Linked DNA regions of Sus scrofa. The protein of the gene in region 6 interacts with the protein of the main gene of each other region in a pairwise test. Links are inferred from orthologs where the notes say so. Each region holds a gene or a part of one and is shown on either strand. Other genes may lie near its edges. The genes, in order: UBE2E3, PRPF3, PSMD9, PLCD4, LNX1, TRIM39 and EIF4A2.

Region 1 (4,024 bases), on a different chromosome or scaffold from region 6:
GGTGGACTTTAACATTTGCTCTCCTTTTGGACTGGTGGCTTCTAGAGCAGGGAGACCTGGCTTTAGTCACACACTAGTTGAATGAGAGAGTTTTGTGTGTCCAGCAATTAGGGCATAGTTCTCCAAAAGGTTCACCGAATGACAGTGTCTTTGGAAAATTACAGAACTGTAACTTACTCTTCAGATTTGTAAGCAGCACTTTACCAAAACTTTTCTCTCTGGAGGAAAAAAAAGTCAATATGTTGGCTCATTCAGCCTTTTTTTCCCCTTTTTCCCTTTAATTCTAGTTCATCTGTTATGACTCTGCCATTGTCATTCCTGCTCTGAACTCCACATTCTCCCAGCACCCCTGCTCCTGACATTTGTGGGAGAGGAATCCACAAATTCCTTTGGGGCTCCATCACTGGAGCAAGTTCTCAGGAGCTGGAGAAGGTCTGGGCTGCAAACAGGAAGTTTTTGTACTTCTGGTTACTTTGTGCCTGGGGCAAAAACTGCAGTCCACCTGGAGACTGCAAGAGAGAATGACAGAACAAAACTACTAACCTTCACTATCTCCACCTGAAGCTTTTTTTCTGGGTGGACATTCTGACCTAGTATCACAGATGGTTCTCTTTCCAGAACTGGCCTCTAGCATGCACCTCACTAGAACCACGCAGCAAAGCATCAGGTATAAACCCTGTTTATGACCTTCTTCACTTAAACAATCTTGAGTGGGACATTTAAAAAATTGTTTTGAATTTTTAAGTTTTCAAAGCACCCGAAGGATCACCTTCTCCTTTGGTATGCTGAGGGCCAAAGAGAAGCAAGCAGAGGCTGGTCAACTAGTCTCAAAATCTCTTTTCCTCCCTCGATGCCGAAGACCCCATGTTGCCCTTTTAGCTCACACGAGGGGCAAGAGGCAGCTTTCCTCCTCCTGCATGCCCGCCTTCGTCAACGACACCCATTAGTCTGCAGTCTTCTAGGGCAGTGGGGGACTCTCGACCACGCACCCGGGGCGCTAGTCCAGAAGTTGGGGCCCCTGGGGTCCAAGCCGGCCCCTGCACATGCAGTGGGGCTGCAGGTCAGCCCCAGGGATGATCCCGGCCCAGCGTGCGGGGTAGGTAGCCCAATGGGCAGTCTCGCTCCGGAGGCGGGCTCAGGCCGGAAGCCACCCCGCGGCACAGCGGCCCCACGAGACGGCGCCCGCGCCCCCGCCTTTTCTGGCACCCGCTCCGCGGCCAAGGGCGGCAGGGGCCAGCCCGCTGGGTCCCCGCCGCGCTCTTTGTCCGGGCCGCGCGCGGGCGGACGCGTGCGCCCCCCGGGTGAAGGGAGGCGCGGAAAGAGCGCGCGGGAGCGCGCGAGAAAGGCTCGCGCCCGCCGGCGGCGCGTGCCCCTTCGCCAGGCAAGCAGTGAGCGAGCACGCGCGCCGCCGCCGCGCCCGCCCCTCCCCCGCGCTCGCCTCGGAACTTGCTGACTGCGCGGCCGGGAGGAGCCGAGCCGGGAGGCGGCGGCGGGAGGCCACAGCGCGCGGGGGTCTCCCGCGTCCCCTCCGCCTCGCCGGGAGCTCGCGCCCTCGCCCAGCCGAGCTCCCACCCCCCCTTTTTTCCGAAGGCGCTGGGCGGCGCCACCCTCCGGCCGGAGCCCGGCACTGCACAACCCCCTCCGACTTTCAATGTTCCACACTCCCCGGCCAGAGCCTCCTCGGCTTCTTTTTTTCCCTCCCCCCCTTTCCCCCCCCCAGCTGCCTCCATTTCCTTAAGGAAGGGTTTTTTTCTCTCTCCCTCCCCCACACCGTAGCGGCGCGCGAGCGGGCCGGGCGGGCGGCCGAGGTAAGGCGGCGGGGCCGGGGGGCCGCGTGGGGGCGGCCGGGGCGGCGGCGGCGGTGGGGGAGGGGGCGGGGGCGGGCAGCTTTGTTCGCGCCGGGCGCCCGCGCCGCCGGTGTCCGCGAGCCGCGGCGGGGCCGGCCGGGCTGCTCGCATCACTTGGCGCCCGGCGCGGCGAGCGCTGCCCGCGGCCCCCGCGCGGCCCTCCCCACAAAGGGCCGCGGAGCTGCGTGGCCGCGCCGCCGGCCGCGGCTCGCCTCCGCGGGCGCGGAAATTTGTTGCACTTCTTGGGGCTTTGTTTGTTTGTTTGTTTTTCCTCTGATTTTTTTTTTCGTTATTTTGGACAAAATGTCGGTCCGTGATGTAAAAATTGAGCGAGGAACCTTGATGGCATGGGGAGCTTTGCAGAAGGTGCAGTTTGAATTTTGCTTTTCCCAGGGTGGCAGCTCGGTCTTGGCCGGATGAATCTTCCCTGCTGGCCGTGGAAACGGCTAGAGCAGCTTGTTAGTTGATTTTTTAAATTCCTAAGTGTTGTATTTAAAGGCTTACGTGCACCGAGGAGGAATCGCCACCTTAAATAAGCATATGGGCGATTAACAGGGTATGTTTTCCTCTTGGAAAGGGAATTTGGTAGCTTTGACCAATGTCAGCGTGTAAATATTTAGACGTTATTAGTGACTTTTTAACATTTTTCAGCAAGATCTGTTATTTACAGTGTGTCATATGTTATTAATGCTCGTTGCCTAAGTTCCCTGGCAAATCTGTTTCATGCCTTCTGAGAAAGTAGACAATTGATAGATTGTCCAAGGGATGGAAAAAAATGTGAGTGGGTTTTCTAACTTGAGTTCGTAAATCCCTGAACGCTGGCGTTGTAAGACCCATCACCTCCCCTGTAACCTTGCTTTACGACGAGATAAGTGTGAACACTTTTGAAGTCTTTTCATTAAAATACGATTTTAGGTGAAGATAAAGAGATGAAAATGCTGTTGGTTTATTTAATAGACTTACCTGTCCTTTCTCCCTTTTCTATTGAAAAGTTTTCCAAGAAATAACTTCACCAAGATGTCCAGTGATCGGCAAAGGTCCGATGATGAGAGCCCCAGCACCAGCAGTGGTAGTTCAGATGCGGACCAGCGAGACCCAGCCGCTCCAGAGCCAGAAGAACAAGAAGAAAGAAAACCTTCTGCCACCCAGCAGAAGAAAAACACCAAACTCTCTAGCAAAACCACTGCTAAGTTATCCACTAGTGCTAAAAGGTAATGTGTGAAAAAAAGGATTACGCATGTTGTCTGTGTTGGACACTTTTGTTGGTTTTACATCAGTAGCAATAGTTGAAAAATACTTCCTTCTTGATCAGTTTTATTTGTACTTGAATGAGTTGTCATTCTTTAGATGGTCTATAAGCCACCTCCCTAGAATTAGGCTTTTAAGCAAACTTGTTCTGTACTTTGGTAACTTCAGTGAGAGTGTCCTTGGAGAGAGATTGGATTAACCTCTGACAGATTGTTTAAGGAGTTGGCAAGGAAAATTTGGTCAACTCAAATTAACTGGTACATTGAGGATATTTCCTTTTTATGAGTCATTTTCTTCTTCATTGAAATTGACACTTCTAGAGATCAGCAGTGCCTCTCCATGAAACTTAATGATCAGAAGTAATCATGTGTGCTAGAAAATTTGTAAATTCAAGGCCTTCCTTGGCTATATTTGAAAGCAAACTTAAAAACTGTGCGCTAAGTCCACTTTCAGTTTTACAAACCTGACTTTAAGTCATATGTCCCAGGTATTACTTTTTGTAGTTAAGCTGTGGTTATATTCGTGTGTCCTTGTGAGGGCAAATAAAACTGAAAAGCAGCCATTTACATTTTAGGTGGCACTTGGTGATTGAAAACTTTGCCATAGTGCCTCTCCACTCTAAAACTTGTGGATATGCTTGACATGCTAATACTCAACAGCAGGAGAAACATATTTTGTTGCATATAAGAGAAAGATCATTTGTTTCCTGTTGATTAATATTATCTGTGATGGTGAAAAAAAGATTCTGTTAATGGGACTCCCATCAGTGGTAGTAGTTGTGGAACATCCATGAATTCTAGGAATTATACATCAGATGTTTCTACAGCCTTCAGCAGTATCGACATTTTGTTCATTTTTTTATCACAACCAAAAGAAAAAGAAAATATAAAAGCTGATCAAATGTTGGCATGCTGTAGTAATTTTCTATG
Region 2 (3,500 bases), on a different chromosome or scaffold from region 6:
GTAGGCCGGCAGCTGCAGCTCTGATGCAGCCCCTAGCTTGGGAACTTCCGTATTTCCTGAGTGCAGCCACAAAAAAAAAATGGGATTCTACTACTTCCCTGTTTTCTTTGACTCCAATTTATCTTCTTCTTCTTTTTTTTTTTTTTTTTTATCTTTAGGCCCAACTGGAGAAGCTACAGGCAGAGATCTCACAGGCAGCTCGAAAAACAGGCATTCATACTTCGACTAGGCTGGCCCTCATTGCTCCTAAAAAGGAGTTGAAGGAAGGAGATATCCCTGAAATTGAGTGGTGGGACTCTTACATCATCCCCAATGGCTTTGACCTGTGAGTTTGTTAGTTAATACCTTTTAGTAAGGCTAGAGTTTTAATGGGCAGGACAATACTTGTGCTTTAAATTAGATCTAAGGAGAATAGGTAACCACACACAAGCTCATATATTTGTTAAGAGTATGTTGTATGGGTTATTTTTAGGTTTTTTGGGGTTATTGGAGGAGGATTGGTCACAAATAGTCTAAATAACTTGTGGAGGAGTTCTCGTTGTGGTGCAGCAGAAATCTAACTAGCAGCTATGACGTTGTGGGTTTGATCTCTGACCTTGCTCAGCGTTGCTGTGAGCTGTGGTATAGATTGCAGATGTGGCTCAAATACTGTGTTGCTGTGGCTGTGGCATAGGCCGGCAGCTGTAGCTCCAATTGGACCCCTAGCCTGGGAACCTCCATATGCTACAGGTGCGGCCCTAAACAAACAAGCAAACAAATAAATAAATATGCAAATAATTATAAATTTTCTATTTGCTTTTTTTTTTTTTTTTTGGCCACACCCCTGATGTGCAAAAGTTCCTGGGCCAGGAATCCCACGCCACAGCAGTGACCTGAGCCATTGTAGTGACAGTGCTGGATACGTAACCCACTGTGCCACATAGGAACTCCAGAATATTTGTTTTCTTCTCTTTTCTTTTTATGGCCGTACCCACAGCATATGAAAGTTCCCTGGTTAGGGGTCGAATCTGAGCCACAGCCACACAAAATCTGAGCTGCATCTGTGACCTAAACTGCAGCTTGCAGCAACCCACTGAACGAGGCCAGGGATTGAACCTGTATCCATATGGATACTAGTTGAGGTCTTAACCTGCTGAGCCACAACAAGAACTTCAGAATATTTGTTTTCTTTCTTTCTTTTTTTTTTTTTTTTTTTTAACACTGCACCTGCAGCTTATGGAGGTTCCCAGGCTAGGGATTGAATTGGAATGGCAGCTGCCAGCCAACACCACAGCCACAGTGACACTGGATCCGAGCTGCATCTGCCATCTCTACCACAGGTCATGGCAATGCTGGATCTTTAACCCACTGAGTGAGGTCAGATTTGAACCTGCGTTCTCATGGATGCTAGTCTAATTCGTTTTCACGGAGCTATGAGGGGAACTCCAGAATATTTTCTTAATTTCATTCTTGTAGTTCCTGCTGTGGCACAGTTGGTTAAGGATCCAGTGTTGCCAAAGCTATAGCATGGGTGGCATCTGCTCCTTGGGTTTGATCCCTGGCCTGGGAATTTCCAGCAGAAAATGAAATACATTATTTTGCTCCTTTTAATAGGTGTTTATATTTCTTAAAGATCCAGACCTAGAGTAGAGCAAGGATTCTTAGTTGTTGAGGGAGAGAATAATAAATAAAGCATATAAGAAACATTTGGAGAGCTTTTATCATATCTTCTTCATCATTTTGATACATGGCTTTAGGAGACTGTCTCAGCCTTTCCTTACCCTTCCTTGGCCAACCACTGCCCCGGGGAGTTATTGTTACTAATGAGAGTCCATGGTATCCATCAAAGGTGTTGAGGTAGAAAAAAGGTTGAGAATGGTATAAAGAGTGCATCCAAATGGAACCATTTTCTCATCTTGAAAATTATGTGTAATATAATTACATATTATAGATATGCAAATACTTATAAAAGTGCTAGAATTCATTATGGAGAGTGGATTTTTTCATTGTTTCTGAGACTCCCTCTCTTGGAATCATCTCTACCCACATATCCTGTTTTCCCTTCTTCCTCCAATTTTAGTACAGAGGAAAATCCCAAGAGAGAAGATTATTTTGGAATCACAAATCTTGTTGAACATCCAGCCCAGCTTAACCCTCCAGGTAATAGATTACTCAATCAAAGCTCTAGAGAACTATTATACAATAGAAATTTATGTGGTAGTGGACGTGTTCTCTATGTGAGCTGTCTGTACAGTAGCCGCTATCCACATATGACTATTAAGACTTAAAAACTGGAGTTCCCCTTGTGGCTTAGCAGTAACGAACCTGACTAGTATACATGGGGACTCAGGTTTGATCCCTGGCCTCACTCAGTGGGTTAAGGATCTGGCATTGCTGTGAGGTGTGGTGTAGGTTGCAGATCTGATGTTGCTGTGGCTGTGACCTAGGCCAGCAGCTACACCTCCAATTCAGCCCCTAGCCTGGGAACGTCCATATGGTGTGGCCCTAGCAAGACACACACACACACACACACACACACACACACACACACACACAAAACAAAGAACTTAAAACCTGAGTTGTAATAATATATAACTCAGGGACTGAATTTTTAATTTTATTCAATTTTAATTTTAAATTTAAGTAGAAAATGTGGTTAGTGGCTACAGTATTGGACAGTGCAGCTGTAGAGCACTGAGGCCTAATCTAGAAATGGCTTCACTGATGTATATTACAAATTGGCCTTTTGTTAGTGTTGACTCCCAACTCTAGTCTTAGACACCACCACTAAAGTCCTGGCCTTTTTCAGTCTTTGTCTTCAGCCTTTCTATCATTTTTGTAGCAAAAGTGTATTGACTCAGTTGAAAAAGATGGGTTTTAATCGTGTCTGTGTTTTTTAAGTAGCTGAATCCCTTGTGTAAATCACTTAGAATACAAAATTTCCTCATATGTAGGAATAATATTAAGTTATATTCCTTCTTCAAGCGATCATAAAAGATTTTAACACTTTGATCAGTTTTGGAATAAACAAAGGAAGTTAGTTTTTTACTCAGTTACCAAGTTTACTCAATCAATAAATCTGCTCACCATCACAGGGAATTATATCCAGTCACTGCGATGTGTGACTGGGTCACTTTGCTGTACAGTAGAAATTGGCAAAACACTGTAAATCAACTATAATCACAAAAATAAAAATCAGAAAATAAAAAATTTGCTTACCAGTATCTCCAATAAGTTCAGGAAAATAGATTGAGAGCTTGAAATAATGCAAAGTGTAATTGTTGAGTTGTATTTAATAAGAATCTACTTAACTGTCATTAGTATGAATCATCAAAAGAATGCAGAGGGTTTTATATGTTTTATCAAGTCGAGTAAACCTTCTTTAGGAGTCCAGAAGATTTTTTCCAATTCCAGTAATTCTCAAATTATAAATTTCATCATCTTGGCCAGTGGTTTTCAAGTTGTATTCCATAGACACATTGAGGTTCAATAGGTAGGATCCAAATGAGATTCTGCATATC
Region 3 (3,500 bases), on a different chromosome or scaffold from region 6:
TTATTTAGGACAGCAACATGCACCATGGGGCACATTCTCCAACGTTTCTTCCAGGCAGAGGAGCCTATGAGAGGAAAGCAGAAACTATGGCAGGGGTGGGGGTGGGATTTGCAGGACAGATCCTTAACGGAGGGGTGCCAGCTGGCCTAGGAGCTTTTGTCCTTCCTGCCTGGCACAGGGACATGGTGACCCCACCTCAAGATAGATGACACTTCCTAAGGATGGCAGAGCCTGGGTTTCTGATGACCGGCCCGGGACTCCGTCCTCCAGATGTCTTTACCGAGGAACTGAACTCCTTTCCGTTTGAGTGGCCGTGCTGAGGGCACTGTCATTAACGACTAAACCTGTTTCCTAACTCTAACTGATCTGATTAGGACTGTAAGCGATATTTGACTTGGGTTTCTATTGTTATTGTGATAAAGTTTCCACGGTAAAGTTCCTAAAAACAAAATGAAAAATGAAACCATGGAGTTCCCGTCGTGGCGCAGTGGTTAACGAATCCGACTAGGAACCATGAGGCTGCGGGTTCGGTTCCTGCCCTTGCTCAGTGGGTTAACGATCCGGCGTTGCCGTGAGCTGTGGTGTAGGTTGCAGACGCGGCTCGGATCCCGCGTTGCTGTGGCTCTGGCGTAGGCCGGTGGCTACAGCTCCGATTCGACCCCTAGCCTGGGAACCTCCATATGCCGCGGGAGCTGCCCAAGAAATAGCAACAACAACAATAACAAAAAAGACAAAAAGACAAAAAGACAAAAAAAAAAAAAAATGAAACCATGGAGTTCCTGTCATGGCACATTGGAAACGAATCCGACTAGGAACCATGAGGTTGAGGGTTCGATCCCTGGCCTCACTCAGTGGGTTAAGGATCCAGCATTGCTGTGGTGTAGGTCGAAGACACAGCTCAGATCTGGTGTTGCTTCGGCTGGTGTAGGCCGGCAACAACAGCTCTGATGAGACCCCTAGCCTGGGAACCTCCATATGCTGTGGGTGCAACCCTAGAAAAGACAAAAAAAAAAAAAAAAAAGAAAGAAAAAGAAAAATGAAACCATGGACACAGAGCCCTGGAGTCTAACCCATTCCCTTAGTCTGCAGGCTCTCAATGGGGACAGATGAGGTAATCCCATCAAGGCCAAAGTGAGGGGAGAGGATAATGTGGAGCACTGGTGCTTTCTCTGTGTGCCCTAAGCATCTCCGGCTACAAGGTGGGAGAAGGTCCCCAGCGAGGGCCACTCACAGACGATGTTGTGCCTTGCTGTTCGGACTTGGTACAGGTCCACATCTGACCGGGGGTAGCCCTCGCAGTCCACTAGCGGCTCGTTCATCCCCACGCCTTTTTGCTGGAGAAGAGAAACAAGGTCAGAAAGATTCACAAGTGTGCAGTCCTCCAGCCCTCTTTCCCCAGACACTCTTCCTCTGAACTCCTAATAAAGGTGACAGTAATGACACTGCCAGGTACTACTCAATGTGCGCCAACGAGGTATGTTTCCACACCCTCTCCCATCTGCCCTCTGAAGTGGGCACTATTTTTTAACTGACTTCTAATAACACAAGCAAAGCATGAAGCCACTCTCCTTTTCTGAAGTTAATGCAGTGCAGATAAAACTAAGGATTTCTTTGAGCACCATCCCCAAGGCCAGCCTCTCCTCCACTCCTCCAAATCCTCCTTCCTATGGGCAGCTGACACCTGGCTGGTGGCCTTGGAACCTGGGGGGAAGGGGGTGATAACCCCAAAGAACACCGAGCTGAGGCAGGACTTTGGATCTTCTGAAAATAAAGAGAGATCTAAAGGGGACTTCAAACAGGCTTTTCATCCCTGGCAGGCTACACTGATATCGCCAGATATCACCAGCTGCCATCTGGGGAGAGGAACTGGGTGGCTGGGGGACAAGGGAGGGAGAGAGACTTTCCATTTTATATCCTTTTGTAGACACTGAATCTTTTTTTTCCCCTTTTCTTTTTTTTAATGGTTGCACCTGAAGCATATGAATTGGTGCTGCCACGAGCTGTGGTACAGCTCGGATCTGGCATTGCTGTGGCTGTGGTGTAGGCTGGCAGCTGCAGCTCTAATTCAACCCTTAGCCTGGGAACCTCCATATGCCACAGGGGAGGCCCTAAAAAGGCAAAAAAATAAAAATAAAGTGCCCTTTTAGTTATCTTCAACCCTTCAATAATCAAGGAGAAAGTCCCCATTTTGTGCTTTATATCACCTCCAGATGACATGTTAACTCAGGGCCTTTCCTTTTCTTTTCTTTTTTTTTTTTTTTGGCCATGGCCACAGCATGCAGAAGTTCCCTGGCCAGGGACTGAACGTGAGCCACAGCTGTGACAATGCTAGACCCTTAACCTGCTGAGTCAGCAGGGAACTCCTATTTGTTTTATTGTTGTTGTTTTATTCTTTTTTGGTTACCCCACAGAACGAGGAATTCCTGAGCCAGGGATCAGATCTGAGCAGCAGTTGAGATCTATGCCTCAGCTGTAGCAAGGCCAGATCCTTTAACCCATTTTGTCTGGACAGGGATCAAACTTAAGTCCCAGCACTCAGTCACACTGCCAATCTGATTGTGCCACAGCGGGAACTCCCTCCATTTTTGTTTCGTTTTGTTCTGTTTTTTGGGTTTTTTTGTTTTGTTTTGTTTTTTTGCTCTTTAGGGATGCACTGGAGGCATATGGAAGCTCCCAGGCTAGGGGTTGAATCAGAGGTACAACTGCCAGCCTACACCACAGCCACAGCAACAAAGGATCCAAGCCACATCTTCGACCTACACCACAGCTCAGGGCAATACCAGATCCCCTACCCACTGAGCGAGGTCAGGGATAGAACCCGCATCCTCATGGATACTAGTCAGATTCGTTTCCACTGCACCACAACACCACAACAGGAACTCCCCCTTTGTTCTGTTTTTAACGGCTTTATTGAGAAGTAATTTACATACCATATAATGCACCCATTTAAAATGTACAATTCGGAGTTCCCTGGTAGCTCAGCAGGTTAAGGATCCAGCATTGTCACTGCTGTGGTGTGGGTTTGATGCCTGGCCAGGAAGCATCACATGCCTCAGACGTGGCCAAAAAAGAAGTGTACAATTCAAAAGCTTTTCAGTATATTCACAGAGTCATGAAACCATCACAATAATCAATTTTTTTTTTTTTTTTGTCTTTTGTCTTGTTGTTGTTGTTGTTATTGTTGCTATTTCTTGGGCCGCTCCCGCGGCATATGGAGGTTCCCAGGCTAGGGGTCCAATTGGAGCTGTAGCCACCGGCCTACGCCAGAGCCACAGCAACGCGGGATCCGAGCTGCGTCTGCAACCTACACCACAGCTCACAGCAACGCCGGATCGTTAACCCACTGAGCAAGGGCAGGGACCGAACCTGCAGCCTCATGGTTCCTAGTCGGATTCGTTAACCACTGCGCCACGACGGGAACTCCACAATAATCAATTTTATAACATTTCCAAAGAAACCCCAAACCCATTAGGAGTCATTCTCATTCCCCCTTCCTCTCA
Region 4 (3,500 bases), on a different chromosome or scaffold from region 6:
ATGACTCATGATCTTATGAAAGGTAAATAACAATATGCTATTACATCAGACCTCAGGGACCTCTCTGTCCATGGCCAGAAGGTCACAAGTGCCTAGTACAGTGGAAAACTTCAGCTAGCATGTGAGTAAATAGGAGGAGGGAGGAGTTCCCATCGTGGCTCAATGGAAACAAATCTGACTAGCGTCCATGAGGATGCAGGTTCAATCCCTGGCCTTGCTCAGTAGGTTAAGGATCTGGTGTTGCCGTGAGCTGTGGTGTAGGTCACAGGTGCAGCTCAGATCTGGCATTGCTGTGGCTGTGGTCTACAGCTCCGATTGGAGCCCTAGCCTGGGAAAGTCCATATGCTATGGGTGCGGCCCTAAAAAGACCAAAAAACAAACAAACAAACAGGAATCTTCCAATATTCTAGGGACATATCGGGGCATTTAACTTTTTCTAGTCGAAAATGTTCTCTAATAGCAAATGATATGGTTGATAAGCTTTTCACTTAACTGAAGTGACTTATTCTGTGAACACTAAGTGTCAGGAGTTCTGTGGGAGTTTTATGGAAGCATGTCTGGATCCATCAATAATATTACCCTTACAGGGAAAGTCAAAGCCAAAAAAAAAAGTACTGTTAAAGGGTTTGTCCACTTTCCTCTGAACCATCTCTTACAGACAGCAGACACATCCCAGTCTGGGACTCTGGAGGGAGAAGAATTTGTAGAATTCTATAAGTCATTGACTAAGCGTGCTGAGGTGCAGGAATTGTTTGAAAACTTTTCATCTGATGGGCAGAAGCTAACACTGCTGGAATTTGTGGATTTCCTCCAAGAGGAGCAGAAAGAAGGAGAACGTGCTTCTGATCTTGCTCTGGAACTCATCGACCGCCACGAGCCTTCAGATAGTGGTAAGAAGACTAGGGTGGAAAGGCACCAGACATGGGGGCTCATGGGGGACCGTGATTAGAAAGATCCAGAAGCAGTTCCTGCTGTGGTACAGTGAGTTAAGAATCCAATTACAGCAGCTCAGGTCACTGCGGAGGCATAGATTTGATCCCTGACCTGGTGCATTTAAAGGATCAGGTGTTGCCGCAGCTGCGGTGCAGGCTTGGATTCAATTCCTGGCCTAGGAACTTCTATATGCAGCTGTTTAAAAAAAAAAAAAAAAAAAAAAAAAGGTCCAGAGACAATCAGCCTTCCGCCTAACTAAGAGGAGGCTAAGTCCACTCCCCCGCCCCAGGCCCCCTGTCCAATCATCTTCATCCCATTCAACCACTTGTCTGGAAGGTGAGAGCCATTTCCTACCTACATAAGACAGGATTCTCCTCTGTCAATGCTAGATCTCTCAGGAGGAAGAACATTCCACAAGTCCCCTTTCCTCCACTATGCTCATGTTTCACATCCTTCACCTTCAGGAAGTTCTTCCTGATATCAACTTTGTCCTTGTTGGAAATGGAAAATCCTTGGTCCTTGCTTTTGGCCTTTTCTCTAGTGCCTATGTTTCCTTTTCCTAGTTCACTTCATGGCTCCTATTGGCTGTCCCTTTAAATGCTGGCCCTCTGCCCTTTCCTGGGCTTTCTCCAAATTCTCCAAGTGGTTCTTGAGTCCTAAGCCTCTGAGCCAAGAAACTTGTCAGCCCCTGGCTGAGGAGGATGATGAGGTGGCCAGTTGTTCAGCTTTTAGCAAGCACAGCTAAAATAGACTTTCTCTGCACTCAAAACTTTCTCTTTGCCTTCTTTAGTAGACACTTTCCTGCCCTCCATTCCCTTCAGAATGTGGGGATGTGATGCATTTACATTATTAATAATAAGTGACTTACAAGGCACTTTCATATCTCTTACTTTATTTAGTCCCCACTCCAACCTTGTAAATCAAAGGCAATCATCTTTATTGGGCTTTTGCTAAGTATCCCAGAATGTGCCACCATCTCTATATGCCTTTCCTCTTCTAATCCTTCCAACAACTCTATGAAGTGGTTTCTATTATTAAGTCAAAAGAAGAATACTGTGCAAATCAGGAAAACTGAGGTTTAGAAAGCTCAAGGAGTTCCCTGGTGGCCTAGTAGTTGAAGATCTGGCATTATCACTATTGTGGTATGGGTTCAATCCCTGACCTGGAAACTTCTGCATACTGTGGGTGCAACCAAAAAAAAAAAAAAAAGTTAGGAAAATCAAATCACTTGCTCAAAGCCAACACTAATGAAAGGAGGTACTGGAAATAAAACCCAGGTCATTGGAATTCCCGTTGTAGTGCAACGGAAATGAATCCAACTAATATCCACGAGAATGTGGGCTTGATCCCTGGCTTTGCTCAGTGGGTTGGGGATCCAGTATTGCCACGAACTATTATATAATTTGCAGATGTGGCTTGGATCCCAAGGGTTAGGGTTAGGGTTGTGGCTGTGGCATAGGCTGGAGCTCCAATTCAACCCCTAGCCTGGGAACCTCCATATGCAGTGAATGCGGCCCTAAAAAGCAAAAAAAAAAAAAAAAAAAACAAAAAAAACCCAGGCCATCTGACTCTTACCTGGTGCCTCTCGTAGAGAATGAGGATTAGAGGCAAGATGAGTATGACCTGGACCAGTGACCCAGGTTTCCTGGGTCTCAACTCCCATTGCCTTTCATTCCTTCATTCATTCACTACTTCAGCAGGGGCTCACTGGGTACCTGCAAGGTGCCAGGACCTATGTAGGGATCAGAGATACAGTAGTGGGTCAGGCAAGGACACTGCCCTCATGGAACTGAGAGTCAAACAGAAAGCAATGAAATCACTGATTCCAAATTCACGTGGGTGTTCAGAGAAGAAAGGGGCTATAAAGCAATCATTGCCAAGAATAAGTAGAAGAAGAAGCTGGAAGGTTAAGAAATAGGATCCTTAGAGTTCCCACCATGGCTCAGAGGAAATGAATCTGACTAGCATCCATGAGCTCGAAGTTTCGATCCCTGGCCTTGCTCAGTGGGTTAAGGATCCAGCATTGCTGTGAGCTGCAGTGTAGGTTGCAGATGTGGCTCGGATCCTGGGTTGCTGTGACTGTGGTGTAGGCCAGCCACTACAGCTCCGATTGGACCCCTAGCCTGGGAACCTCCATATGCTGCTGGTGCGGCCCTAAAAAGACAAAAAAAAAGAAAGAAAGAAAGAAGGAAGGAAAGAAGGAAGGAAGGAAGGAGGGAAGGAAGGAAGGAAGGAGGGAGGGAAGGAAGGAAGGAAGGAAGGAAAGAGAGAGAGAGAAAGAAAGAAAGAAAGAAAGAAAGAAAGAAAGAGAGAGAGAGAGAAAGAAAGAGAGAGAGAGAGAGAGAAAGAAAGAAAGAAAGAAAGAAAGAAAGAAAGAAAGAAAGAAAGAAAGAAAGAAAGAAAGAAAGAAAGAAAGAAAGAAAGAAAGAGAATCCTCTATTTCCAGGACAGGATACATCATTACCTTGTTCTACCTCCCAGCCCTTGTGCTGTTCCTTCCCTTTGTACTTGACTATCAGCTACAGCACTCCGGCTACAGAGGGTGCAATCAGTCAGGAGAGGGGGGC
Region 5 (3,500 bases), on a different chromosome or scaffold from region 6:
ACAAAGTTTATGATTATCATTTTTTCTAACTTCACTCTCCTGCAGCTCATTAAGAAAAACAACTGAAGGCCAAAAAAAATGTTTATTGATTGATCATCCAGAAGACTTCCTACATGTTAACTGGGCATGTTAAAAACTCCATCTTAAACTCCTATACCAAAGGGAGGTACACAGTGTGATAGAATTTTACCAGTTTGAATAAACATACGTATAATTGAATGAAAGAAGCCTACTAAGAGTTCCCACTGTGGCTCAGTGGAAATGAATCCGACTGGGATCCATGAGGATTCGGGTTTGATCCCTAGCCTTACTTAGTGGGTCGGGGATCCAGCATTGCCACAAGCTGTGGTGTAGGTCCCAGGTGCAGCTTGGATCCCATGTTGCTGTGGCTGTGGCGTAGGTCAGCAGCTGTAGCTCTGATTTGACCCCTAGCTTGGAAACTTCCATATGCCATGGTGTGGCCCTAGGAAAAAAAAAAAAAAAAAAAAAAAAAGAATACTATTAGAACGAAGCAAAAAGACTCCTTATAAGAATTATAACTTTCAGTTTACAGGCCAATTAAGCTTGACTGGAGATAGAATGACTTCAGTGGCCAATGCATGTAAGAATAGTTAATAGTTAGAAAGCCCTTACTATATTCCAGGCATAATTATAAAAGCTTTATGTCTCATATCTCATTTAATACTCACAACAACCCCATGAGGTCACTATTATTACCCTCATTTTAGCTATGGAAACAAAGGCCTCAATCATTGGCCCACAGTGGTGGTAGGAATGGCCCAGGCCATGTGGCTCCAGAACCTACTTCATCACTAATGACTAGAATAAATGCAAGGCACACAGCAGAAAACAGTGCTTTCATCACCATAAATTACAACAGCCTCAACTGCTCCTAGTTCCTCAGATGATTTAGTTGAAGATTCTGAGGTCCCATATTTTCTGAGTTTTGGAGAAAAGTTGGGGCAAGAATCAGAGAAAGCCATCAGAGCATTTACTGTTTCTTCTTCTTGTCCTGATCTGACAAAGAACATATTATATATATGTGTGTGTGTGTATTTTATATATATATATATGTATGTACATTTATGTATATATGTATGTGTGTGCATATATGTGTGTGTGTATGTGTATATATATATATGTGTGTGTATATATATATATATATTTTTTTTTTTTTTTTTTTTTGCTTTTTAGGGCCGCACCCATGGCATATGGAGGTTTCCAGGCCAGGGGTCCAATCGCAGCTACAGATGTTGGCCTGCACCACAGCCACAGCAACACCAGATTCGAGCCACATCTGCAACCTACACCATAGTTCACGGCAACACTGGATCCTTAACCCACTGAGCAAGACCAGGGATCAAAACCTCAACCTCGTGGTTCCCAGTCAGATGCATTTCTGCTGCTCCATGATGGGAACTCCTGACAGAGAATTTTATAGATCATTGGTCTATTGGATTAACAATTTACATTTCAGAAGGCAGATTTCTGGGCACATCGCAGATTTTACCCAAATGATTTTCATCGCACCAACAGGAGGATGTTAATGGTAAATATTATTCCCACTGGAATAGGTGGTTAAACTGAGGCCTAAGGAGGCAAAGCCGCTGGCCCCAGGTCACCTCAGTCACCCTCGTGGGCACTCACCCTGGCCTCCCTGGGGCACAGCTCATGGGCACTCACCCTGGCCTACCTGGGGCACAGCTCAGCTCAGTTCTGTCCACTAGCCGCATTGCCTCACGTCCATGATAGCATCTTCAGTGAGCAGTCTTGCTCTCTTTCAGGTTTGTGGATGGCACCAAGAAGATCTTGATTTGCTCCAGAGGAAATACTGTATCCCCGGGGTTGGTTTCCTGTGCTCCTGCCCTGCCCTGCTGCCCAGCTGACCATGAACCTGTCAGACCCCGCTGATGAACCGGACCTCAGCCCTGCACCCCTATGTGTGGTGTGTGGCCAAGCCCACTCCCCCGAGGAAAACCACTTCTACACTTACCCAGAAGAGGTGGACGATGACCTCATTTGCCACATCTGCCTGCAGGCACTGCTGGACCCTCTGGACACTCCCTGTGGACACACGTACTGCACAGTCTGCCTCACCAACTTCCTGGTGGAGAAGGACTTCTGCCCCGTGGACCGCAAGCCTGTGGTCTTGCAGCACTGCAAGAAATCCAGCATCCTGGTCAACAAGCTCCTCAACAAGCTGCTGGTGACCTGCCCATTCACCGAGCACTGTGAGGAGGTGCTGCAGCGCTGTGACCTGGAGCATCACTTTCAAACAAGGTAGGGAGGGGCTCCTCCTCGGCCAATCCTGAGAAGCCCCGCCCTCATGGTGGCTGAAAGGGCGGGGCCTTCCGAGGCCCAGGTGCGCTCAGAGATGGTCCTTTCTCTGCCTTCTGCTTTGCAACCAGAGACAGTATTCATTCAAAATAAGAAACGTTTTAGGTGTTCACGGCTGTGGTTCCATATGAGGAAAGAGCACGTGGTAAAATTGTGGGATGTGAGTGTACGCTTGTGCTTATAGGCTGGTTTTTTCTATAAAATAGACATAACATAAAATTTACCATGTTAGAATTTTAAGTGTACAGTTCAATGACATTGAGTACATTCATTTTGTTGTGCATCCATCACTAGCATCCATCTCCAGAACTTTTTTCATTTTTCAGAACTAAAACTTCACATCCATTAAAAAAAAAAATGAGTTCCCACTGTGGCACAGCAGGTTATGAACCCAAATAGTATCCATGAGGATGCGGATTCCAACCCTGGCCTCCCTCAGTGGGTTAAGGATCCAGCATTGCCATGAGCTGTGGTGTAAGTCAGATGCAGATAGGATGTGGGGTTGCTGTGGCTGTGGTGTAAGCCAGCAGCTACAGCTCTGACTCAACCCCTGGCCGGGGAACCTCCATTTGCTTGCAGGTGTAGCCCTAAGTAGAAAAACAACAGCAAAATGCATAACTTTCCATTCCCTCCTCTCCAGCACTGATAACCACCATTCTACTTTCTGTCTCTATGAATTTGATTGCTCTACAAACCTCATATAAGAAACATTGCTGGTGTCTGTCCTTTGTGACTAGCTTATTTCCTTTGTGTGCATTCAAATTGTGAAAGATACTGAAAAAAATGACAAGAAGCTTTCTCTGGGGCTTACAGTCCCCTAAAAGATTTCCTAGTAGGCATTGCCTGTCTTTTTATGTAAGAAAAGCATGTCTCCTAATTTGGCCCATGATTGTTAGAATTGCCTCTGCACAGGAAACCTTTGGGAAAAGCCCAACCATCCTTTGAGGTATGGTATTTTCAACTAAGTTTTAAAAGGGAGAAATTTAGGAAGTCCCTTTTGTGGCTCAGTGGTGACGATCCTAGTATCCAGGAGGATGCGGACTCGATTCCTGGCCTCGCTCAGTGGGTTAAGGATCCAGCGTTGCCCTGAGCTGTGGTGTAGGTCAAAGACAGGGCTTGGATCCAGCATTGCTGTGGCTGTGCTGTAGACCTTTGGCTACAGC
Region 6 (4,201 bases):
ATTGATGTTGATTTCAGAAGACTCCAGTCATTGCTGAATACTAGAATAGACATGTCAGCTGTCTTTTCAAGAAGTTCTTGCCCTGGGCTCAGTAATAGAAATAGACTTTCTAGTACAGTTGCCATGAATTTATCACTTTCTAGCAGTTCCAAAAGTCCAAATGCACACAAATAGAAATGAGTTGTTGTATGAATCATTTCATTCCGAAAAGATAGCACACTTCCTCTAGGCTAGCCTGCTAAAAGGAAGAATAATTCCAGACTTCTGAAAAAAAGAGGTTGTTACCCTTGCCTAACTCACTCCATTTATTACCGTTTGAAAGAGTGAGAGAACAATGCCAGAGAATCAAGCTTAGGTTCCAATGGGCTATTGTAGTAAAACTCTTCTGTAACATTACGCTTTAATGCATACTTAAGGAACCTTAATTAGGAGTTCCTGCTGTGCTGTAGTGGGTTAAGGATCTGGCATTGCTACAGCTGTGGCATAGGTCACAGCTTCAGCTGGGATTCGATCCCTGGCCCCAGGGAACTTCCATATGCCACGGGTGCAGCCAAAAAAGAAAAGAAAGAAAGAAACCTTAATGCTTGACTTTTATGGCACATTCCACTTTCTGAAACTCCTTTCTCATCCATTAGAAAAAATATGTCGGGGAGTTCCCATTGTGGCGCAGCGGACACAAATCCTACTAGTATCCATGAAGATGCAGGTTCAATCCCTGGCCTTGCTTGGATTGCCATGAGCCATGGTGTAGGTTGCAGATGCAGCTCTGCTTCAGAGTTGCTGTGGCTGTGGTATAATTGGCCGGCAGCTGTAGCTCCAAATTGACCAGTAGCCTGAGAACTTCCATATGCTGTGGAAGTTCTTTTTTTGGCCCTAAAAAGCAAAAAGAAAAATGTGTTGGAGTTCTTTGGTGGCTCAGCCAGTTAAGGATCTGACATTTTCACTGCTGTGGCTTTGGTTCAGTCCCTGGCCTGGGAACTTCCACCTGCCATGGGCACAGCCAAAAAAGATAAGTATGTCCAACCAGGAATTCATTGGTCTGGAACTATTGGTTCTAAGACACAAATGGAATGAAACAGAATCAGGAGAAGTACTTTGGGCTAAAGTTGAAAGGGGCCTCTGTTTCTAACAAGAGGAAGTGATAATAGACAAGAGATTGAGGGTTATATGTCAGTTTGCTGCAGAGAAAAAAAAAGTTAATGTCTGGGAGTCACAAGTTTTGGAAATGGAGAAACAAAAGAGCTTGACTAGTGGGAGAGAAGATGTAAAATACCACGAAGGGACTAAATCTGCAGTTAGCGTTTAACATGGACGTACATGTCAGGTCAGGGATGCCAAAAAATTAAACCTCCAATTAACATTTTTCTTTCCTCTTCCCCCTTCCTAACTTCAAGTTAAATAATGGCAGAGACAAGTCTGTTAGAGGCCGGGGCCTCTGCAGCCTCCACAGCTGCAGCGCTGGAGAACTTACAGGTGGAGGCAAGTTGTTCTGTGTGCCTGGAGTATCTGAAGGAGCCTGTCATCATTGAGTGTGGGCACAACTTCTGCAAAGCTTGCATCACCCGCTGGTGGGAGGACCTAGAGAGGGACTTCCCTTGCCCTGTCTGTCGAAAGACATCCCGCTACCGCAGCCTCCGGCCTAATCGACAGCTGGGCAGTATGGTGGAAATTGCCAAGCAGCTCCAAGCTGTCAAGCGGAAGATCCGAGATGAGAGCCTCTGCCCCCAGCACCACGAGGCCCTCAGCCTCTTCTGCTATGAGGACCAGGAGGCTGTCTGTTTGATATGTGCAATTTCCCACACTCACCGGGCCCATACCGTTGTGCCACTGGATGATGCCACCCAGGAGTACAAGGTAAGGAACCAGACACATGATGCTAATGCAGGGCAAGGGAGAGGAGTGCAGAGGGTGAGAGATTCCCTGGGTAGAAGATCATAAGTTCCTGAGGGCAAGATGGTATCTGGTCCTCACTCTGTATTCCCCTCAGAGCTACATACACTAGGCACACAGCACATCTGATCAGTTATCCTCAGGCATGAAGAAGAGCAGTGAGAGGAGTTCCCATCATGGCACAGTGGAAAGAAATCTGACTAGGAACCATGAGGTTGCAGGTTTGATCCCTGGCCTTGCTCAGAGGGTTAAGGATCCAGTGTTGCCATGAGCTATGGTGTAGGTCGCAGACACGGCTCAGATCTGGCATGGCTGCACCTGTGTCATAGGTCAGCAGCTGTAGCTTCCGTTGGACCCCTAGCCTGGGAACCTCCATATGCTGCAGGTACGGCCCTAAAAAGCAAAAAAAAAGCAATGAGAAATATCCCAAAATTTCTCTCTGACTTTTATAACACATCTGCGTATGTGTGGTCCTGGAATGTATTATGTTTTTCACAAGTGAATGAAACCGCATGGAGAAGATCAAATTTAGGAAGAACTGAAAGGTAGTCTGGTTTCTTCATTCTTTCCTCCTGCTCACATGCCCCTTGTTTAACCTAGTATTGGGCATAGATAACATCACTTTAGAATGACCTCCACCAGGCCAAGCTGAACCAGTCTGTTTGCATCTTGCCTGGATGATAGATAACATGGTATACGGATTAACTTACCACTGGGACCCAGGATACATGTTTGAGTAATAGGAACTCGAGATTTTAATGTCTTAGCACTTTATCAAGAACTTTGACCAATTATATTAGTAAAATCTTAGAAATAAGATTTTATGGTAGTTTCCAAAATAAGTAATCAAGATTGTATTATATTTGCAAGTGGTTAGAGTTGGATAGGACAACAATTTAAAGAAAGATATCAGGGGACAGGAGGTCACTTTGACAGTAATAGGCAGTTCCATGAGTAAGAAAATGAACAGGGCAGGAGAAGGACAGAGAGTTGGTGACAGCTGGACACTGTGAGATTCAGTGAAAGGAAAGTTTGGTGAACAAAGAAAGTGATATGGAGACAGGTTGGTGGCAGGAAGAGGGACCTGTAGGAAATTGACACCCCAAATGACAGACAAGGCAGTTGCATCAAGAGGTGGTAAGAGATGGATAGGAAGCAAAACAAATGATTTAAAACAAATGGGTTAGTTTCTGAACATAGGATGTACCAGATAATCCCAAATGCCATTCTCCCACTTTGCACCCCTCAGGAAAAACTGCAGAAGTGCCTGGAGCCCCTGGAGCAGAAGCTACAGGAGATCACCCGCTGCAAGTCCTCTGAGGAGAAGAAGCCTGGCGAACTCAAGGTAAAGGCAGGAGATCCATTTGGGCTGCTCTACAGGCAGTTAACCAAACATTAACCACACATTATTTAACCCCCCCAGTTCTGGTTCCTTAGAAAAATGCTATTCTCGGAGCTCCCGCTGTGGCACGGTGGGTTAAGGATCCCTCGTTGTCTCTGAGGCAGCAAGGGTTCAATCCCCGGCCCAGTGCAGTGAATTAAGGATTCATCGTTGCCACAGCTGTGGTGTTAGGTTGCAGCTGTGGCTGAGATTCAGTCCCTGGCCCAGGAACTTCTATACGCGGCCATAAAAAGAAAGAAAAAGAAAAATGCTGTTCTCTCAGAAATGATGGTATTTTTATTAAGCTTGATTGTCATTAAACATTGTACTTAGATTAATTGTCATGGATTAAGTATTGAGAAAGATGGAAGAGGTGAAGGACAGAATATCTTATATCTGTGGAGTTGAGGGAGTTCATGCCTGTTGGTCTCCTTTTCTTTGTAAGGCAGGGAAGAAGGCTCTCTGCTGAGTGGGCAGGGATAGGAGTTTCTTAGAGGGATTGAGGCAAGAAGAATGTGGAAGATGCACTCGGGAGGAAGGATGGAGGAGCTGCCCAGTAACCTCTAGACCACATTCTCTTAACTCAAGTAAACTCAAAAATGCTAGATGAGGTTAGTTTCTAGGATAGTCTTCCTTTCCCCATCCTCTACTGTAGGATCCTATTGGTGAAAACCACTGCTTATGTAGCCTTTCTGGAACCTTTAGAAATTGGCTCTTTTAATTTGCATACAGTTTTGCATCTCTTCCATAGCATTAACATATTTGTAGCATGGTATTTTGGTATCTGTCCTATTTCTTCTATTGGACAGTGAGACATGTATTAATAGTAGCAGTAATAATAACTAGTATTTATTGAGCCCTGAGCATTAATTCATTAGGTATCCAAGACATTCCAAACTTTCAGGATTGTGTTAGGTCTTAGAGTTCTGC
Region 7 (4,018 bases), on a different chromosome or scaffold from region 6:
TGAATATAGTACACAAATATAGAAAATTAAGTCATTTTTCCTGTTATCAGACTTTATGTTGGCAGTCTGATTTAATGGTAAAAGGTTTTCTTGAGTAATTGTGATATTTTGCAGTATGGGTAGGATTGTATTTCAAAGTTAAATGACTATATATATTAATTTTTGTTTTGTTTTTACTAATGAGTATGGGTTAGGGCTATAGTTGAAAGCCTCTGGAGCTTTAAGGGTTACAATGCTCTCAATATCAATAAATCAACATTCATTATATATAAGCAATTAAAATTCAAAAAGCCTTTTGGAAAAAAAAAAAATGACCGGAAGCAAAACTTATGTAGTCCCAAAGCGGCACGGAGCTGTACTTGCCAGAAGCATCCACTTAAATTCCTGAATTACAGGAAAAATTACCCTTCTATTTGCCAGTTTACAATGATTTTATCAGGCATTGCTCACACCTGTTAAAATTTATAACCTTTATTTTTAAAAGGCAGTGAGAGAAGAGGCAACATAAGAAAGGAGTTGGCTACTCCAGAGACAATTTGCAGAGGACCCTACACATTTCTTCTCGCCCTGCACGATGTACGGTAAAGCGGATCTCCTGTGACACGCTGGGCGGCCGACATTTTCCGCAGCGCGAGTTTCACACTGTCAAGGTCTGTATGGATGTTAAACGCTCGTGTCAAAGGCCAGGCGGCTCTTTACCTTCGCGTTAAGTAGCGGCGCGAACAGGCGGAATAGCCCGATTGCCCTCCAGTGCGGAGTATGGCCGTGCCTACACCTTCCGCACCGAGCACGGCGAGCACAGCGAGGTTCCCTGGCTCGCCTGCGGAGAAACCGGGGCCACCCAGCTTCCAAGGGGCCCCGAGCTTCCGCCTCCCGGTCCTGCCCGGCGCCCCGGCCGCCTCTGCTCGAGGGACGCGGAAACCCCGTAGGAGCAGGGCGGGCAGGGAACGCGAACCTAGCTACTGCTTGCTGCAATATTCTTCCGCCGCGGGTCAAAGAGTCCCAACCTTCCCCCAGGGTCCTGGGATTTTCAACAACCCTGGAATATCGACACATAATCAAATTTGAATTTTCTTAATGATTTGCTTCGAATATTTTCTGAGATAAGCATCCCAGGATCACAATTTTGTGACTGGCCGAAGAGCGACAGTAAAATTCCTCCGCGGAAAACGGGTTCCGGCCGCGAGCCTATAAAAAACGGGTGGTGCGGCCCGGCTGTCTTTTCAGTCGGGCGCTGAGTGGTTCTTTGGATCATGTCTGGTGGCTCCGCGGATTATAACAGGTATGGCGCTCTCTCCGGTGGTTTTCTATGGTATGGTCCTAAGGCGCCAGAGGAGATGGTAGTAGGCGGTGAGCAGGAAGAGAAGCCCTGGTTCATAGGCGTTGCCTTGGGCCACGGTACTCCTGTGTCCTTCGAGAAGCTTCCATGAAGTGTAGGGCCCGGGTTGTGGGGAGACGAGACGAGGGTAGGAAAACGGGGTGGTTAAAGCGTGTCTTTCCCCGAAGGCGCATTTGAATCGCAGCCGCCCCCCTGCCCCTGCGGAGCCCGGCGTTTAGTGAAAGCCATGGCGCAGCCCGCGGTTGATAGAGTCTAATGGGGCTCGGAGGTTTATTCGCGGCCAGCGGCGCGGCTTGGGCGCGCTAGACGGTGGTGGGGTGGGGGGCAGGACGGCGACGGCGCCCACTGCCCGCGGCTGGAGGCCGGATGGGGCCGCGCCGGCCACGGGGTCCCAATGAGCCGTTGGCTCGCCTCTCCAGGCCTCGGCCCGCGTCAATCACCCCGGCTTGCGCAGTGTTAGGGGCGGAGCTCAGCGCGTGGAGCTCTCGCGAGACGGTCCGCCGCCGAGGGGAGCGCCTGCGCTCGGGCTTGGAGGGGGAGGGCCGGCGTCGGAGGGGCCTTTCCGGGTGTCCTCAGGTCCTAACCTTTGAGCGGGCGCGCGGGACATTGTGTGCCCTGCGGCATCAGCTTCTTCTGCGGCTTTGGGAAGTGGACTCGTGCAGGGGAGGGCGACCTCAAGAGACCGGTTGTGAAAGCGCTTTTTCGCCCATGTGCAGTTGAAGTGGGTTTGGGGAAGGGATTTTCTCTAACTGCAGTGTTTTTGTTGGCAGAGAACATGGCGGCCCAGAGGGAATGGACCCCGATGGTGTCATCGAGGTAAGAAACGTGTGTGGAATTTGAAACTCTGGGAAGGTAAGTGTGTTCGTCCCATTTATTCCTTTTTTTTTTGCCCAAACTTTCAGAGCAACTGGAATGAGATTGTTGATAACTTTGACGATATGAATTTAAAGGAGTCTCTTCTTCGGGGCATCTATGCTTACGGTTTTGAGAAGCCATCAGCTATTCAGCAGAGAGCTATTATTCCTTGTATTAAAGGTAAAAGAATTCGGCTGTTTTTAAAAATGAATTCACTCTTCTGCATAGACCTGGACCGTAAAAGGGAACGTATACCTTCTGGGGGACTAGCACCTATTTGTATTCCAAAAAGTGAAATGATGGCAATCATCTTTCGGGACTGACCTGAAATGAAGAGAATACTCATTGCTGATCACTTGATTATTTGGGCATAATTATGTTCCAAATGGAATACATGGTGTGACTAGAAGTGACGGTTTGCTGTGGGATCGGTAAATATGTATCCTACTTTTTTTAGGGTATGATGTGATTGCTCAAGCTCAGTCAGGTACTGGCAAGACAGCCACATTTGCTATTTCCATCCTGCAACAGTTGGAGATTGAGTTCAAGGAGACCCAAGCACTAGTATTGGCCCCCACCAGAGAACTGGCTCAACAGGTATTGATAGTGTAGTTCAAAAAAACTGCTTGCGTGTTGCATAGGTTTCAGGTTTCACAACTGTGGAGAATTTAAAAGCCTAGTATAAATTGGTCCTACAGAGCCCTCCTTTTAACTGTCCATGCATGCAGGGAGTTATTGTTGAAAGTTAAACAGGAACTGGGTGTGCAGGTATGGTTTGCAAGGTTGTGTAACAGATTGAGAAACTGAAGATTTCTGTTCAGGCTGGACTAGATCTTTTCTCATTTTAAGTTTGAATCCAGTTGTGCAACATGAAAGCTGCAGTGACATGTTCATTCATTTGACTGTCTCAGTATGTGATACATCTGTTGCATGCTGCGTTTTCAAAGCTCACTACTATATTGGCTTTGAAGTAAACCTTGCTAATACACTTGTAGTTGTTATTAAGGTCAAGATTATATGCTGCAGTACTTTGCGGGAAAAAGTTTGTTAATGATGATAAATCTTATTTACTCCTTCCTGCACAATACTAATGTAGGAAATGTTTTTCACTCTAAATAACCTGGTTGGTATCTGGGCAATAGGATCCCAAGTTTTGACAAGGCACAAGATATTTCAGTGAAGTTTATCCTGACAGTTATATCTGTCTGCATTTTTTTCAGCTTGAAAGTAGTTAGGTGCTCTGCATGCATTAAAGCTGTTTGCAGACCACATACTTGTCAATATGCTTTGGAAGTTTAGTCACAGCATGTAATGCTGCTGGATGATAATTAACGCTTTTGGCTTTCAGATCCAAAAGGTAATTCTGGCACTTGGAGACTATATGGGAGCAACTTGTCATGCCTGCATTGGTGGGACAAATGTTCGGAATGAAATGCAGAAACTGCAGGCTGAAGCACCACATATTGTTGTTGGTACACCAGGGAGAGTGTTTGATATGTTAAACAGAAGATATCTTTGTAAGTATTACTCCCTATTAGTATAGTTTGTTGGAGTATAGATTTTTTTTTTTTTAACTCTTAGGAATCAATAACATGCCTGATAGTCTAGAGATAATAGTACGACTTTATTTTTAACAGCTCCAAAATGGATCAAAATGTTTGTTTTGGATGAAGCAGATGAAATGCTGAGCCGAGGGTTTAAGGATCAAATCTATGAGATTTTCCAAAAATTAAATACAAGTATTCAGGTGAGCTTTATTTTCCCTCATTTTCCTGTAATAGCTGGAGGTTAGGTTAATGCAGGTACTGTTACAATACAACTGAA

What was found.
Region 1: the proteins of TRIM39 (region 6) and UBE2E3 interact in binary tests that used the Homo sapiens proteins (3 or more experiments, as listed by UniProt). The link is inferred for Sus scrofa from reciprocal best matches to the Homo sapiens genes TRIM39 and UBE2E3.
Region 2: the proteins of TRIM39 (region 6) and PRPF3 interact in binary tests that used the Homo sapiens proteins (3 or more experiments, as listed by UniProt). The two-hybrid records come from large-scale screens. The link is inferred for Sus scrofa from reciprocal best matches to the Homo sapiens genes TRIM39 and PRPF3.
Region 3: the proteins of TRIM39 (region 6) and PSMD9 interact in binary tests that used the Homo sapiens proteins (3 or more experiments, as listed by UniProt). The two-hybrid records come from large-scale screens. The link is inferred for Sus scrofa from reciprocal best matches to the Homo sapiens genes TRIM39 and PSMD9.
Region 4: the proteins of TRIM39 (region 6) and PLCD4 interact in a two-hybrid assay, tested with the Homo sapiens proteins (2 studies listed by BioGRID and IntAct). The two-hybrid records come from large-scale screens. The link is inferred for Sus scrofa from reciprocal best matches to the Homo sapiens genes TRIM39 and PLCD4.
Region 5: the proteins of TRIM39 (region 6) and LNX1 interact in binary tests that used the Homo sapiens proteins (3 or more experiments, as listed by UniProt). The two-hybrid records come from large-scale screens. The link is inferred for Sus scrofa from reciprocal best matches to the Homo sapiens genes TRIM39 and LNX1.
Region 7: the proteins of TRIM39 (region 6) and EIF4A2 interact in binary tests that used the Homo sapiens proteins (3 or more experiments, as listed by UniProt). The two-hybrid records come from large-scale screens. The link is inferred for Sus scrofa from reciprocal best matches to the Homo sapiens genes TRIM39 and EIF4A2.

What each region holds. Positions count from the first base shown.
Region 1 is NC_010457.5:86,469,688-86,473,711, forward strand, and holds the start of UBE2E3 (ubiquitin-conjugating enzyme E2 E3), read left to right. Parts: upstream 1-1,224; 5' UTR 1,225-1,808; intron 1,809-1,935; exon of another isoform or gene 1,936-2,403; intron 2,404-2,839; 5' UTR 2,840-2,864; coding exon 2,865-3,058; intron 3,059-4,024. UniProt on the Homo sapiens protein: Accepts ubiquitin from the E1 complex and catalyzes its covalent attachment to other proteins. In vitro catalyzes 'Lys-11'- and 'Lys-48'-, as well as 'Lys-63'-linked polyubiquitination.
Region 2 is NC_010446.5:98,754,725-98,758,224, reverse strand, and holds part of PRPF3 (U4/U6 small nuclear ribonucleoprotein Prp3), read left to right. Parts: intron 1-158; coding exon 159-325; intron 326-2,059; coding exon 2,060-2,139; intron 2,140-3,500. UniProt on the Homo sapiens protein: Plays a role in pre-mRNA splicing as component of the U4/U6-U5 tri-snRNP complex that is involved in spliceosome assembly, and as component of the precatalytic spliceosome (spliceosome B complex).
Region 3 is NC_010456.5:30,815,636-30,819,135, forward strand, and holds part of PSMD9 (26S proteasome non-ATPase regulatory subunit 9), read right to left. Parts: intron 1,335-3,500; coding exon 1,232-1,334; intron 1-1,231. UniProt on the Homo sapiens protein: Acts as a chaperone during the assembly of the 26S proteasome, specifically of the base subcomplex of the PA700/19S regulatory complex (RC).
Region 4 is NC_010457.5:120,670,640-120,674,139, forward strand, and holds part of PLCD4 (1-phosphatidylinositol 4,5-bisphosphate phosphodiesterase delta-4), read left to right. Parts: intron 1-658; coding exon 659-890; intron 891-3,500. UniProt on the Homo sapiens protein: Hydrolyzes the phosphatidylinositol 4,5-bisphosphate (PIP2) to generate 2 second messenger molecules diacylglycerol (DAG) and inositol 1,4,5-trisphosphate (IP3).
Region 5 is NC_010450.4:40,346,535-40,350,034, reverse strand, and holds part of LNX1 (E3 ubiquitin-protein ligase LNX), read left to right. Parts: intron 1-1,784; 5' UTR 1,785-1,888; coding exon 1,889-2,280; intron 2,281-3,500.
Region 6 is NC_010449.5:23,048,801-23,053,001, forward strand, and holds the start of TRIM39 (tripartite motif-containing protein 39), read left to right. Parts: upstream 1-1,401; coding exon 1,402-1,854; intron 1,855-3,139; coding exon 3,140-3,235; intron 3,236-4,201.
Region 7 is NC_010455.5:124,581,844-124,585,861, forward strand, and holds the start of EIF4A2 (eukaryotic initiation factor 4A-II), read left to right. Parts: upstream 1-1,218; 5' UTR 1,219-1,253; coding exon 1,254-1,282; intron 1,283-2,109; coding exon 2,110-2,155; intron 2,156-2,241; coding exon 2,242-2,374; intron 2,375-2,651; coding exon 2,652-2,791; intron 2,792-3,542; coding exon 3,543-3,711; intron 3,712-3,831; coding exon 3,832-3,941; intron 3,942-4,018. UniProt on the Homo sapiens protein: ATP-dependent RNA helicase which is a subunit of the eIF4F complex involved in cap recognition and is required for mRNA binding to ribosome.